2 linked regions of the Arabidopsis thaliana genome follow. The protein of the gene in region 1 interacts with the protein of each later gene in a pairwise test. Each region holds a gene or a part of one and is shown on either strand. Other genes may lie near its edges.

The links.
Region 2: the proteins of AFH1 (region 1) and FIP1 interact in a two-hybrid assay, tested with the Arabidopsis thaliana proteins (one study listed by BioGRID).

Annotation. Positions count from the first base shown.
Region 1 is NC_003074.8:9,250,457-9,256,991, reverse strand, and holds AFH1 (formin homology 1), read left to right. Parts: upstream 1-1,908; 5' UTR 1,909-2,165; coding exon 2,166-4,039; intron 4,040-4,125; coding exon 4,126-4,331; intron 4,332-4,512; coding exon 4,513-4,757; intron 4,758-4,841; coding exon 4,842-5,672; 3' UTR 5,673-5,899; downstream 5,900-6,535. UniProt on the Arabidopsis thaliana protein: Might be involved in the organization and polarity of the actin cytoskeleton. Involved in polar pollen cell growth process by maintaining tip-focused cell membrane expansion for the polar extension of pollen tubes.
Region 2 is NC_003070.9:9,849,316-9,854,632, reverse strand, and holds FIP1 (FH interacting protein 1), read left to right. Parts: upstream 1-2,183; 5' UTR 2,184-2,332; coding exon 2,333-2,558; intron 2,559-2,643; coding exon 2,644-2,745; intron 2,746-3,157; coding exon 3,158-3,429; intron 3,430-4,058; coding exon 4,059-4,238; 3' UTR 4,239-4,248; exon of another isoform or gene 4,249-4,500; 3' UTR 4,501-4,789; downstream 4,790-5,317. Other genes in the region: ATJ1 (DNAJ heat shock family protein), read right to left, coding at 18-35.

The sequences.
Region 1 (6,535 bases):
ACCATTACGTGAAAACATTGTATATCAATGTTATCAAGTTATCAGACCGCACAAAAATAAACATAAAGAAGGTCATATGATAAATAAGATTCACATAAAACGTAATAATAAGAAAATATCCAACTAAAATTACTAAATTAATATGAGGTTAGATAGCAAACATCTAAACTACAACACACGTAAATGTTAGCCATTATGGATTAATAACTATTGATAAATTTTTTTTAAAAAATAAGTAAAATAGAATGAAAGTAGTACTTGATACATTATTATGATTTTTTATTTATTGAATGTTTTTAGAAAATTCACTTTAAGAGTGAGATTAATAGAAAATGTAACACAACAAAAAACTTTTAATTTTTCCTCAATTAATTTTACTAATTTGTTTATTTAATTAATGTAGAATGACACATGTCATTTTCTTGTATGATCACTCATATGAAGAGAGTTGACCAACTTTCATATATATGATTCATCACTCTTACAATTTCAACTAAATATTTAGGGCATTTTCATCCACGAGAAATCCATAAAGTTTCTCAAACAAAAAAATATTAATATTATATTATAATTTGATTATTTGATTAAAAAAATATTTTTGTTAAAAAATTAAACCAATAGTAAAAAGAAAATTGTCATGATGGATCGTAAAAAGTATCTCAAAGTTTCTGAAGCGAGAAACTTTCTACAATCTCTCTTTTACTTTTATTATTTTTATTTTTTTAACTATGAAAAATTCTTATGAGATACTACCAATGGAGATAGTTTTAGAGGTTCTTCTATAACCATCCGCTATGGTGTAAAATAAAAACTCATCCACAAACGTAAAACAACTACTCATCCATCCGCAATGATTTTCTTTTTTTTGAAACACTATATAAATTTTAAAAATAAAACGATGAGACTACTTATAAGGTATTTTTGCATATAAAAGTATAAAGTTCAATTTTGTGTGTCGGTGGTTTCCTGATACTCTTGTACTCTTACATTTTCAGTAGCTTTCCCACGTGACCAATTATTTTACTCCCTTTCTTAGTCCAATTATGGTTTTCTAGCACCTCTTTTTATTTGAACTTTTATATGAACTATTAATAGTTCACTTTATAGTTTTTCTTAACATTCACAGGCCCACAAATTTTACAAGAATCAGACATTATTTGCTTTAAATTTGATAAATTTTGCAGTCCTAGTCCTGGTAAATTCAGTATTTCTGTCATATTCAATACCATCAATTTCTAGTGCCATTTTTATGATTGCAAAATCCAACAAAAACAAACAAAACCATGTTGTGGTCTAATGTTTGTTGCCCCAAAACAGAAAGAGGATTCACACAGTCGACATTTGCATAAGACGCAGGAAGTATAACTGGCTTATTAAGAAGATTTAAGGGACGCATTTAGAGATATGGTTATTGCATGAACCATGATGTAGCCATTTAAAAGTTTATGGTTAACTTAACTATTTGCAACGATCGATATTTTATCAAACGATGCTACTGTATAAGTTTCTCATCATATGTCCTAATTCCTCCTTATTATCTACACCAGTTAGACCTGTCCTCCAATTTTACGCTTTGTACATACAGCATTCGGCGAAAGCACATGAACCGACCATTTACACATCCTGAGACAGTGTCGGTCAAAATAAAGTAAAGAACTCAGCACAATACACCCACTACCACTTCCTCCTCCTCAAACATTAACACACCATTATTTTATGTTTTCTTTATTACAGACGTCGTCAAACCGCCGTAATAACTTTTTAATAAAATAAAAATCCACTCGCATTTTTATTTTCAACATTGTGCGTACGGTGCAATTCAATGAACAGTGTTTACTTTCAGTGTGTACACTTCTGCGGACTATTACAAAGTCCACGTCTTATCCTACGTGTTATAATCTCATATGTTACTGTCTGAAATGGACCCCACTACGTAAAAATAAAATTAAGAATCAACCACTCTTCTTCCATCACCTCTTTTGGCTTTCTCTCTACTCTCTCTACTACTCTCTCACCATCACTGAGTTAAGAGAACAAACCAAAAACAAAATTATCAAACCATCACCAGCAGAATCTTAGCTGGATTCATCACTCTATTCAAAAAGTTTCTCTCTTCTCTTTTCTCAGATCTTGAACTCTTGAAGAAGAAAGAAGAAGATAACACAATGCTCTTCTTCTTATTCTTCTTCTACTTACTCTTATCTTCATCCTCCGATCTAGTCTTCGCCGACCGTCGTGTACTCCACGAACCATTCTTCCCTATAGATTCACCACCACCGTCACCACCATCACCACCACCACTTCCTAAACTACCATTCTCTTCAACCACTCCTCCATCTTCATCAGACCCAAATGCTTCTCCTTTCTTCCCTTTATACCCTTCATCTCCACCACCACCTTCTCCAGCCTCCTTCGCTTCTTTTCCGGCGAATATCTCATCTCTAATCGTCCCTCACGCCACTAAATCCCCACCTAACTCCAAAAAACTCCTTATCGTCGCTATCTCCGCCGTTTCCTCCGCTGCTTTAGTCGCTCTACTTATCGCTTTACTCTATTGGCGAAGAAGCAAACGTAACCAAGATCTTAACTTCTCCGATGATAGCAAAACATACACCACCGACAGTAGCCGCCGTGTCTACCCTCCTCCTCCGGCAACGGCGCCTCCAACACGACGCAATGCGGAGGCTAGAAGTAAACAGAGGACCACCACGAGCTCCACCAATAACAACAGCTCTGAGTTTCTTTACTTAGGAACAATGGTGAATCAAAGAGGAATCGATGAACAATCTCTTAGTAATAATGGATCAAGCTCAAGAAAACTTGAATCTCCAGATCTTCAACCACTTCCTCCATTGATGAAACGAAGTTTCCGTTTAAATCCAGATGTTGGTTCAATCGGAGAAGAAGATGAAGAAGATGAGTTTTACTCTCCACGTGGCTCACAAAGCGGGCGAGAACCGTTAAACCGGGTCGGACTTCCGGGTCAAAATCCTAGATCTGTTAACAATGACACTATCTCTTGCTCATCTTCAAGCTCTGGTTCACCAGGAAGATCAACATTTATCAGTATCTCTCCTTCAATGAGTCCTAAGAGATCTGAACCAAAACCGCCGGTTATCTCCACACCAGAACCGGCGGAGTTAACCGATTATAGATTTGTTCGGTCTCCGTCACTGTCGTTAGCTTCTTTATCGTCGGGATTGAAAAACTCCGATGAAGTAGGATTGAATCAAATCTTTAGATCTCCGACGGTTACATCTCTAACAACTTCACCGGAGAATAACAAAAAAGAGAACTCTCCATTATCATCTACTTCAACTTCACCGGAACGACGACCAAATGATACACCAGAAGCTTACTTGAGATCTCCGTCGCATTCTTCTGCTTCTACATCACCGTATAGATGTTTTCAGAAATCTCCGGAGGTCTTACCGGCGTTTATGAGTAATCTCCGGCAAGGTTTGCAATCTCAGTTACTATCTTCTCCTTCTAACTCTCATGGAGGACAAGGTTTCCTTAAGCAGTTAGATGCATTACGTTCTCGTTCACCGTCGTCGTCTTCTTCTTCTGTTTGTTCTTCACCGGAGAAAGCTTCTCATAAGTCACCAGTTACATCTCCTAAGTTATCTTCCCGGAATTCGCAGTCTCTATCATCTTCTCCGGATAGAGATTTTAGTCATAGCTTAGATGTATCACCACGGATATCGAACATTTCACCTCAAATTTTACAGTCTCGTGTGCCTCCGCCTCCTCCTCCTCCCCCACCGTTGCCGTTGTGGGGACGACGGAGTCAGGTGACTACTAAAGCGGACACAATCTCGAGACCGCCTTCTCTTACACCGCCTTCACATCCTTTTGTGATCCCATCTGAAAACTTACCAGTGACTTCGTCTCCTATGGAGACTCCAGAGACGGTTTGTGCGAGTGAGGCGGCGGAGGAAACTCCGAAACCGAAGCTAAAGGCGTTACATTGGGATAAAGTTAGAGCAAGTTCGGATCGTGAGATGGTTTGGGATCATCTTCGATCAAGCTCTTTCAAGTGAGTTAATGTGACATACTCGTTTATATGATACTATATGCTTTTAGTGAGAATGTGGTTGTTGAGATTATGAATGTGGTTTGCAGATTAGATGAGGAGATGATTGAGACGTTGTTTGTGGCGAAGTCGTTAAACAACAAACCAAATCAGAGTCAGACAACTCCAAGATGTGTTCTCCCGAGCCCGAACCAAGAGAACAGAGTCCTGGACCCGAAGAAGGCTCAGAATATTGCCATCTTGCTTCGTGCACTTAATGTCACTATAGAAGAAGTTTGTGAGGCTCTTCTTGAAGGTAAACTATGCTGTCACATACATAGTTTCTCATTTTCTTCTCCTTTGATCTCCAGAATTAGAGTTCTTATGCATTTGTTAATGGTTTTTCGATGATATGGTTGAGTTATTCTGAAAGCTTTGCTTCTTTGATGGTGTGGAGATTCTTGGTTACATTGATGTTCTTAGTTATGCTTTTTCAGGCAATGCTGATACACTGGGGACTGAACTTCTTGAGAGCTTACTGAAGATGGCACCGACAAAAGAAGAAGAGCGCAAGTTGAAAGCGTACAATGATGATTCGCCTGTTAAGCTTGGACATGCTGAGAAATTCCTTAAGGCAATGTTGGACATCCCTTTCGCCTTTAAAAGAGTTGATGCAATGCTCTATGTAGCCAACTTTGAGTCCGAGGTTGAATACTTGAAGAAATCTTTTGAGACTCTTGAGGTATATATTACAAGCTATTCTCTCTCTTTTTACCATATGGTTGTATTGTAACAGATTATGACTTCATTTCTATTGTTTGTGTAGGCTGCTTGTGAAGAACTGAGGAACAGTAGGATGTTCTTAAAGCTTCTTGAAGCGGTTCTAAAGACAGGAAACCGTATGAACGTTGGAACAAACCGAGGAGATGCACATGCGTTCAAGCTTGATACACTTCTCAAGCTAGTCGATGTCAAAGGCGCTGATGGGAAAACAACTCTCTTGCATTTCGTTGTACAAGAGATAATCCGAGCAGAAGGCACACGTCTCTCAGGTAACAATACACAAACAGATGACATTAAATGCCGGAAACTAGGTCTCCAAGTTGTATCAAGTCTCTGTTCTGAGCTTAGTAACGTCAAGAAAGCTGCTGCGATGGACTCAGAAGTACTAAGCAGCTACGTCTCCAAGCTTTCTCAAGGCATTGCCAAGATCAACGAAGCAATCCAAGTCCAATCAACAATCACAGAAGAAAGCAACAGTCAGAGGTTTTCGGAATCGATGAAAACGTTTCTGAAAAGAGCTGAGGAAGAGATCATCAGAGTACAAGCTCAAGAGAGCGTAGCGTTATCACTTGTAAAAGAAATCACAGAGTATTTCCATGGAAACTCGGCTAAAGAAGAAGCGCATCCGTTTAGAATATTCTTGGTGGTTAGAGACTTCCTTGGAGTAGTAGACAGAGTTTGCAAAGAAGTAGGGATGATAAACGAAAGAACAATGGTTAGTTCTGCTCATAAGTTTCCTGTTCCAGTGAATCCAATGATGCCACAACCTCTTCCTGGACTCGTTGGACGAAGACAATCTTCTTCTTCTTCGTCGTCGTCTTCAACCTCTTCGTCTGATGAAGACGAACATAACTCAATCTCATTAGTTTCTTAAGGTGAGATCTCAGCTTTGTCTGTGCATGTTGTTGTAAAAAGTATCCAGTATTGGATTGTTTTGTCATAATAGATTTAAATATATATATATAGAGGGAGGGAATTAATGACAGAAACAAAGAAGTGTTTTTCTTTTCTGCATTTGTGTAAAAAAAATAATATAGGTTTACCTTAAAATTTGTTCATCTTAAATTAATAATTTAAGAATCAAATAAATTTGTTTATCTGAACCGTGTGTACCACGAAAGAATGTGAGAGCAAACATATTACTTACTTACCCTTCGTTGCTGAATATAATGATCATTATAAATCACTACCTCCAGTACCTTCTACCTTCTTCAAAGAACCTTGTTGGATTTGAACCAAAGTTGGAACATAATTGACGAGAGGTGAGCATCTAGATTCTGCATCGTGATGATGATCCACTTTTATCTATTTATTTTCTCTCAAAATGTTTAAGAAAGTGTTGGAGACCTCATTTTACCAGGTAACACTAAAACTTTATTCTCGGGGTCTGACGAAGAATAACAAGTTTACTAACGCTCAAAAATTACATTGCAAAAAGAATATTAAATACAAGAATTACAACAAGAACAAGGGTATTCAAATTACAAATTCTATAGCAAAAAAAAATAAATCTTAAAAAATGTAATAACTGATAACAAACAATTTTACAAGTTCACTAACGCTCGAAATACATTGCAAAAAGAATATTAAACAAGAATTGAGTTAAAATTGTAGAAATTGTTGTGAAAAAATCAATATTGAAATTGTGTTGGAGAGGAAGCAAACTCTATGTGATCGTCAAGTTGTGGAGTTTATGTAATCGTGATTCGTGATCGTGAAGTTGTGGAGTTTATGTAA
Region 2 (5,317 bases), on another chromosome or scaffold:
GGATGAAGAAAACAAACCCAGTTGAATCTTCGCATGACTCTTGTGAATTCAAAGCTAAACAGAGAGGAAAAAACGGAGAGGTTTTTGATTTTGAGAGTTAAACCCTTAGACCATTTCCATGATAAATTCCAAACAAACATAAATCAAAAATATTAAAATAATAATTTTTTAATCAGTTTTTTTTAGAATATTTTCTGAAATGAGAAACTTGGAGAAATTTTATCTCTCTTCCAAATGTCATCTTGTCATTAATTTCTTTTCTTTGTTATAAATAAAATCATTTATATTTTATAACATCAATTAAATACTTTATATGTTTATTTTTTTTTTTTTTTTTACTTTTAAAATTCATAAAATTAAATTATCTATATAACAAGCTCTATTATATATATGTTTAAATTATATACGAATATTATTTAATTGGTGTTAGTTAAGCATTAAACATAATAATAACTTATAAATACAATAGTTTTTTTTTAATTAGAAAACAAACATTTAAAATTTTCTATTTTTATTTTACAACATTTTTGGCAATCGAATTCGACTTCGTGATAGAGATATGCACCAACAACTAAAAGATGACCTAGTTGAGCATATATGACAAAAGTTTGGTGCATTATCAAATGAAGAGTAAAACCATAATAGATAATATAGTTAGTTTTGATTTATGTTATCATGGTTTTATATGTAATTTCTGTGTAATTTATATATTTTTTCTATTTAATTTATGTTATCATGGTTTTATATGGAATTTTATGTTTAATTGATATATTTTTTATTATGATTTTATATGTAAAGTAATGTTTAATTATGTTTAATTATGTTTAATTATGGTTTTAAAAATAATAAAACTATTTAATAATATAATTGTAAAAATAATAATTGATATGTTTGAAAATATTGTAGAGATTTTAAATTTAATATAAAAAACATATAATAATATGTTAATGTTAATGAGATACTCATAAGAGTATTTCACCAATGGAAGCACAATTTTAGTATAAGTTTCTCTACTTAAATTAAAATATTAATAATATATTATGAGGTACTCATGGAGTATCTCACCAATGGAGATGCTCTTACGCATATGCTGACGAGAGACGAGAGAAGAGACGTTCGCTAAATCTTTTGCTTTCTCGCCACTACGTCCAGAGTCTCTCTCTGGTTCAGAAGACTCGAAATGGGTTAAACACGTATTCTCTCATTCTCCGTAGTTAATTAATTTAGTGAAACGGTAAAAACAAAATGGTAAAAAATTGGCGGTCGTTATTTTGTAGCGGTAAAGAAAATAGTGAGTTAGACTATTTACAAGTTAACTGTTTGAATTAAAAGTTGAAAGTGATTTGGAAAAAGATGTTGTAGAATTTCTTCAACACCGTTAATTTTGTGAATAAAATCCTTGTACACATATAGTCTTAGAAAATTTGGAAAAAGGTTTGATAAATGTAACTTAGATGCTGCTTGGATTATAAAAAGTAAGCTTTATGGATACGGACTTGAGTTCCCAAGATCATTTAGGTTCAATCTGATTTTGAGGTTTATATAAGAAGCTTCATTTAAACCGTTGAGTGTTTGAGCTATATGAAACTTCAAAAAAATGTCATTCGTTTAAATACCATCAAGAAGAATGTGAATCAACTTTTCTTTTTGGATGAAAACTAGTTTTTTGATATGGTAACTATGTTTTCAACACAACAAAATTTTATCGTCGAATGTCCGAAATGATAAAGACACTCTTAACCTTCATCGGAAAAAATAGCAATTTTTTGTGGTATATCAATAGCGGTTACAATCTAACTTGTTTTGTTGTTGTTATTATGATTAGAACTGTCAATTGGGTGGACCGCATGTGGGTTTTTACAGTCCAAATACACACGGACGGATTATGGTCTGGACTCCAAACTAAAAAACATAAACCAAGCAATCAAAAAGTTAGAATAAGATATTTTTTAGTTAAAACAAAAATCGTAAGTGAAGAAGGTCTGAATTTCTTGAGGAAGATAAACGGGCACAAAACCGGTGTACATACATGGATTATGGATATGTTCTAGAGGAAAGGTATAATTGAATACTAGTATCCGTTACAGAAACTAATTGCATTAAGTTTCGTCTACTGTTTAAGACCGCACGAGATATATATGTTAGACCGACTTTGGGAAAGAGGCTACTTAAATTATTTACGATTAATAATGCCAACGTAACGCGGACAGACATTTTAATTCAATTATTATTTGTTGCCTGCGAGATTCGAACCATCTCTTATTTCATTACTTAACCCAAACCAAAAAAATAAAAAGTTCATTTCGAAAGAAGAAGAAGAAAACATCAAATCATGAGTGGGCAAGAGAATCATGATCATGGCCGGATCTCTTCTACGCCCGCCGCCGCGTCGGAGCCTTCCAAGGCTGCTGCTCACTCCTCTGACTACGCTCCTTACCCTAAGCTCGATCCTACCGACGTCACTCCTCCTCCTCCTCAGCCTATTCCCACCGGTGCCGCCGCAACCACCATGCCAGCGGAATCCAATCCTTACGTTTCTCCTTCCCCTGCCCCAAGGAGTGAGTTCTTCTTCTCTCTATCCGATTTCGCATCCTAATCCAATTTCTGCCTTTGATTGATTGATTGATCTTGGTTTGGGGACAGATACGATGGATTCGGTGAAGGATACGTTAGGGAAATGGGGGAAAATGGCTGCCGACGCCACCAAGAAGGCGGAGGATCTCGCCGGAAATTTTTGGCAGCACTGTAAGCGCTTCTTCTTCTTCTTCTTCTTCCCCCTCGATTAGATGAATTACCAATTAATCTGATTACCGTCTCTTGGAGAATACGATGGTATTGGTTATGCCCCTTCTGGTTAAGTTAGTGTTCATCAATTGGCGCTTCTTCGGAATTTTACTTCGCGTTCAACCACCGACACTAAATCTAGCCAACAATTTTGATATTCATGCTCTTCCGTTTGAGTTTAAGCCAATTAGTTCTTTGTATCTGGTTATTGCCTTTGACTCTTGAAGCTTCTCTAGTATAGGTTGTTTTGGCTTTATTTCTCCGCTTGTGTGATGAATTAGTATTATATACATATGGTTGGAGGGAGGGATGATATTTTATATGAATTGAGACTTGAGAGTATACGTTTTGATATCTATCCTTTCTTTTTCAGTGAAAACAGGCCCAAGTGTAGCAGATGCTGCTGTTTCACGAATTGCTCAGGGGACAAAAATACTTGCAGAGGGTGGATACGAGAAGGTCTTCAAGCAAACATTTGATTGCCTTCCTGATGAAAAACTTCTCAAGACCTATGCTTGCTACTTGTCTACATCTGCTGGTCCTGTCCTGGGAGTTATGTATCTTTCGACTCACAAGCTTGCGTTCTCTAGTGACAATCCTCTCTCTTACAAAGAGGGTGAGCAGACCCTGTGGAGCTATTACAAGGTATACTCGCTCTCTATCCTATGGTTACTTTTTCTTTCTAACTCTTTTATTTTATATCTATTTACATCTAAGAAAACTATTTGAGAACAAAGATTCAGCGAATGTAATATTTGATGGTGACATGATAAAGCGTTAAGTGAGTTAAGTCATTTTCAATGCATCTATTTACATAGATTCATAGACTATAACAAATTTTCTTGTCATTTCTAGTTATTGACGTATAGAACGTAGTGTGTGTACGCTTATAGTAAATGGAAACTACATAATCATTCTAACGATATTGTTGAGTAGTTGCATGTTAGTTCCTATGTAGACAATTAGGACTTTAGTGGTTTGCCTAAGAGAGTAAGCTAAATCTTGTAGCATTCTTGATAAAACTAGGGGAGCCATTGAATAATTGTTAGTTTGAGAGTTTGGACTGGTTCTAATGTAAACATCTAACATGAGCTGAAATCCTATTAAACCAAGCAGAAAGCTTCTTGACAACATGATCTTTGGAAAACTGATTTTAAGATTTGGGTGGTTCTTGAGAACCTTTTTTCGTTCCTTGAGAACCTTGCACTTGCAGTCTATTTTCTGTCATTCTTCCTTGTAAAGTCTGTGGCTGATGATTTTGATGTGATGATCAGGTGGTACTTCCGGCGAATCAGCTGAAGGCAGTGAACCCATCAACAAGTAGAGTGAACACATCTGATAAATACATACAAGTGATTTCCATCGACAACCACGAGTTCTGGTTTATGGGGTTTGTGACTTATGAAAGCGCTGTGAAGAGCCTTCAAGAAGCGGTGCAGTCACATGGTCCGTGAAGGTCCACTGGTATAAATGGCAGCTCTTAGTGATATTGTGCATTAATATATGGAACAGTGTGTTTTAGTATTTGATACCATTTCAATGTGTTCTACATTTTGTCCTCTTGGCGTTTACTCATAAACATTGCTTTTGTTCATTTCCTTTTGTATAAAATTATTTCTTATTTTTTTTGAGGGAACCTTGTCCTTTAGATCTAACATTCATGATTTGTATTCGTGTTCTAAGTTGGATTCGGTCTTTGGTTTTTGATGAGTTTAGGATTTTAAAGGTGATCAAGTTGGGCGCTATAGACAAAACCAGCATTTAGAAAGCCCAATATATCACCGATGGGCCTTTGAAAAGAGCCCAAATCGATAATAAGCATGCATGGGAGAATTGGTGACACGGGCTCATTACAACACTTTCATCATAGAAGATCCTATGTTTAATGTGTTTAAAACAAATCTGGTATGAGTTTTGGAAGATAGTAACATTGAGTATATATGTGGAAACAAATCTAAATGGTGGGGTTTGTGCAATCGCCTAAATTGTTTTTTACTTGCATTCGTTATATGCAAATATCTAAATGATTAAAACCAAAACCAAAAATATCTAATATGATATATTAAAATATTAAGCTTCATTGTATCATTCTTACGAAGTGACCAACTTTAGAAGTTAGCGAATTGTCTGTCATTAAGCCTATTGCTCCTTGTCGTCTTATTCTTTGCTCACCAACGAGCTACGTCCTTTGAATTTCTTATTAAAGTTGTTAGCATATAAACTATGACTAGTGCCCATCAAATTTGAAGATTTAGCATTTGGACTCTTCTTGTGTTAACTGAACATGGTCAGTCTTACAATATCTATATATTCAATGGTTATCGAGTGATTGTGTCATGAAATGTTAATATAGTTGGATCTTTTAAAAAAAAATGTAAATATAGTTGAACCATATACATCCGTTGAAAACAACAACAGCAAAAACTGATAGCTCTGAACCATCTTTGTAAGAGTGTGTTTGCGACTACGGGAGTCTTGATATCAAACCGAAACCACCCTATATATGAAAAAGCTTCATAAAACCGATTTCTCG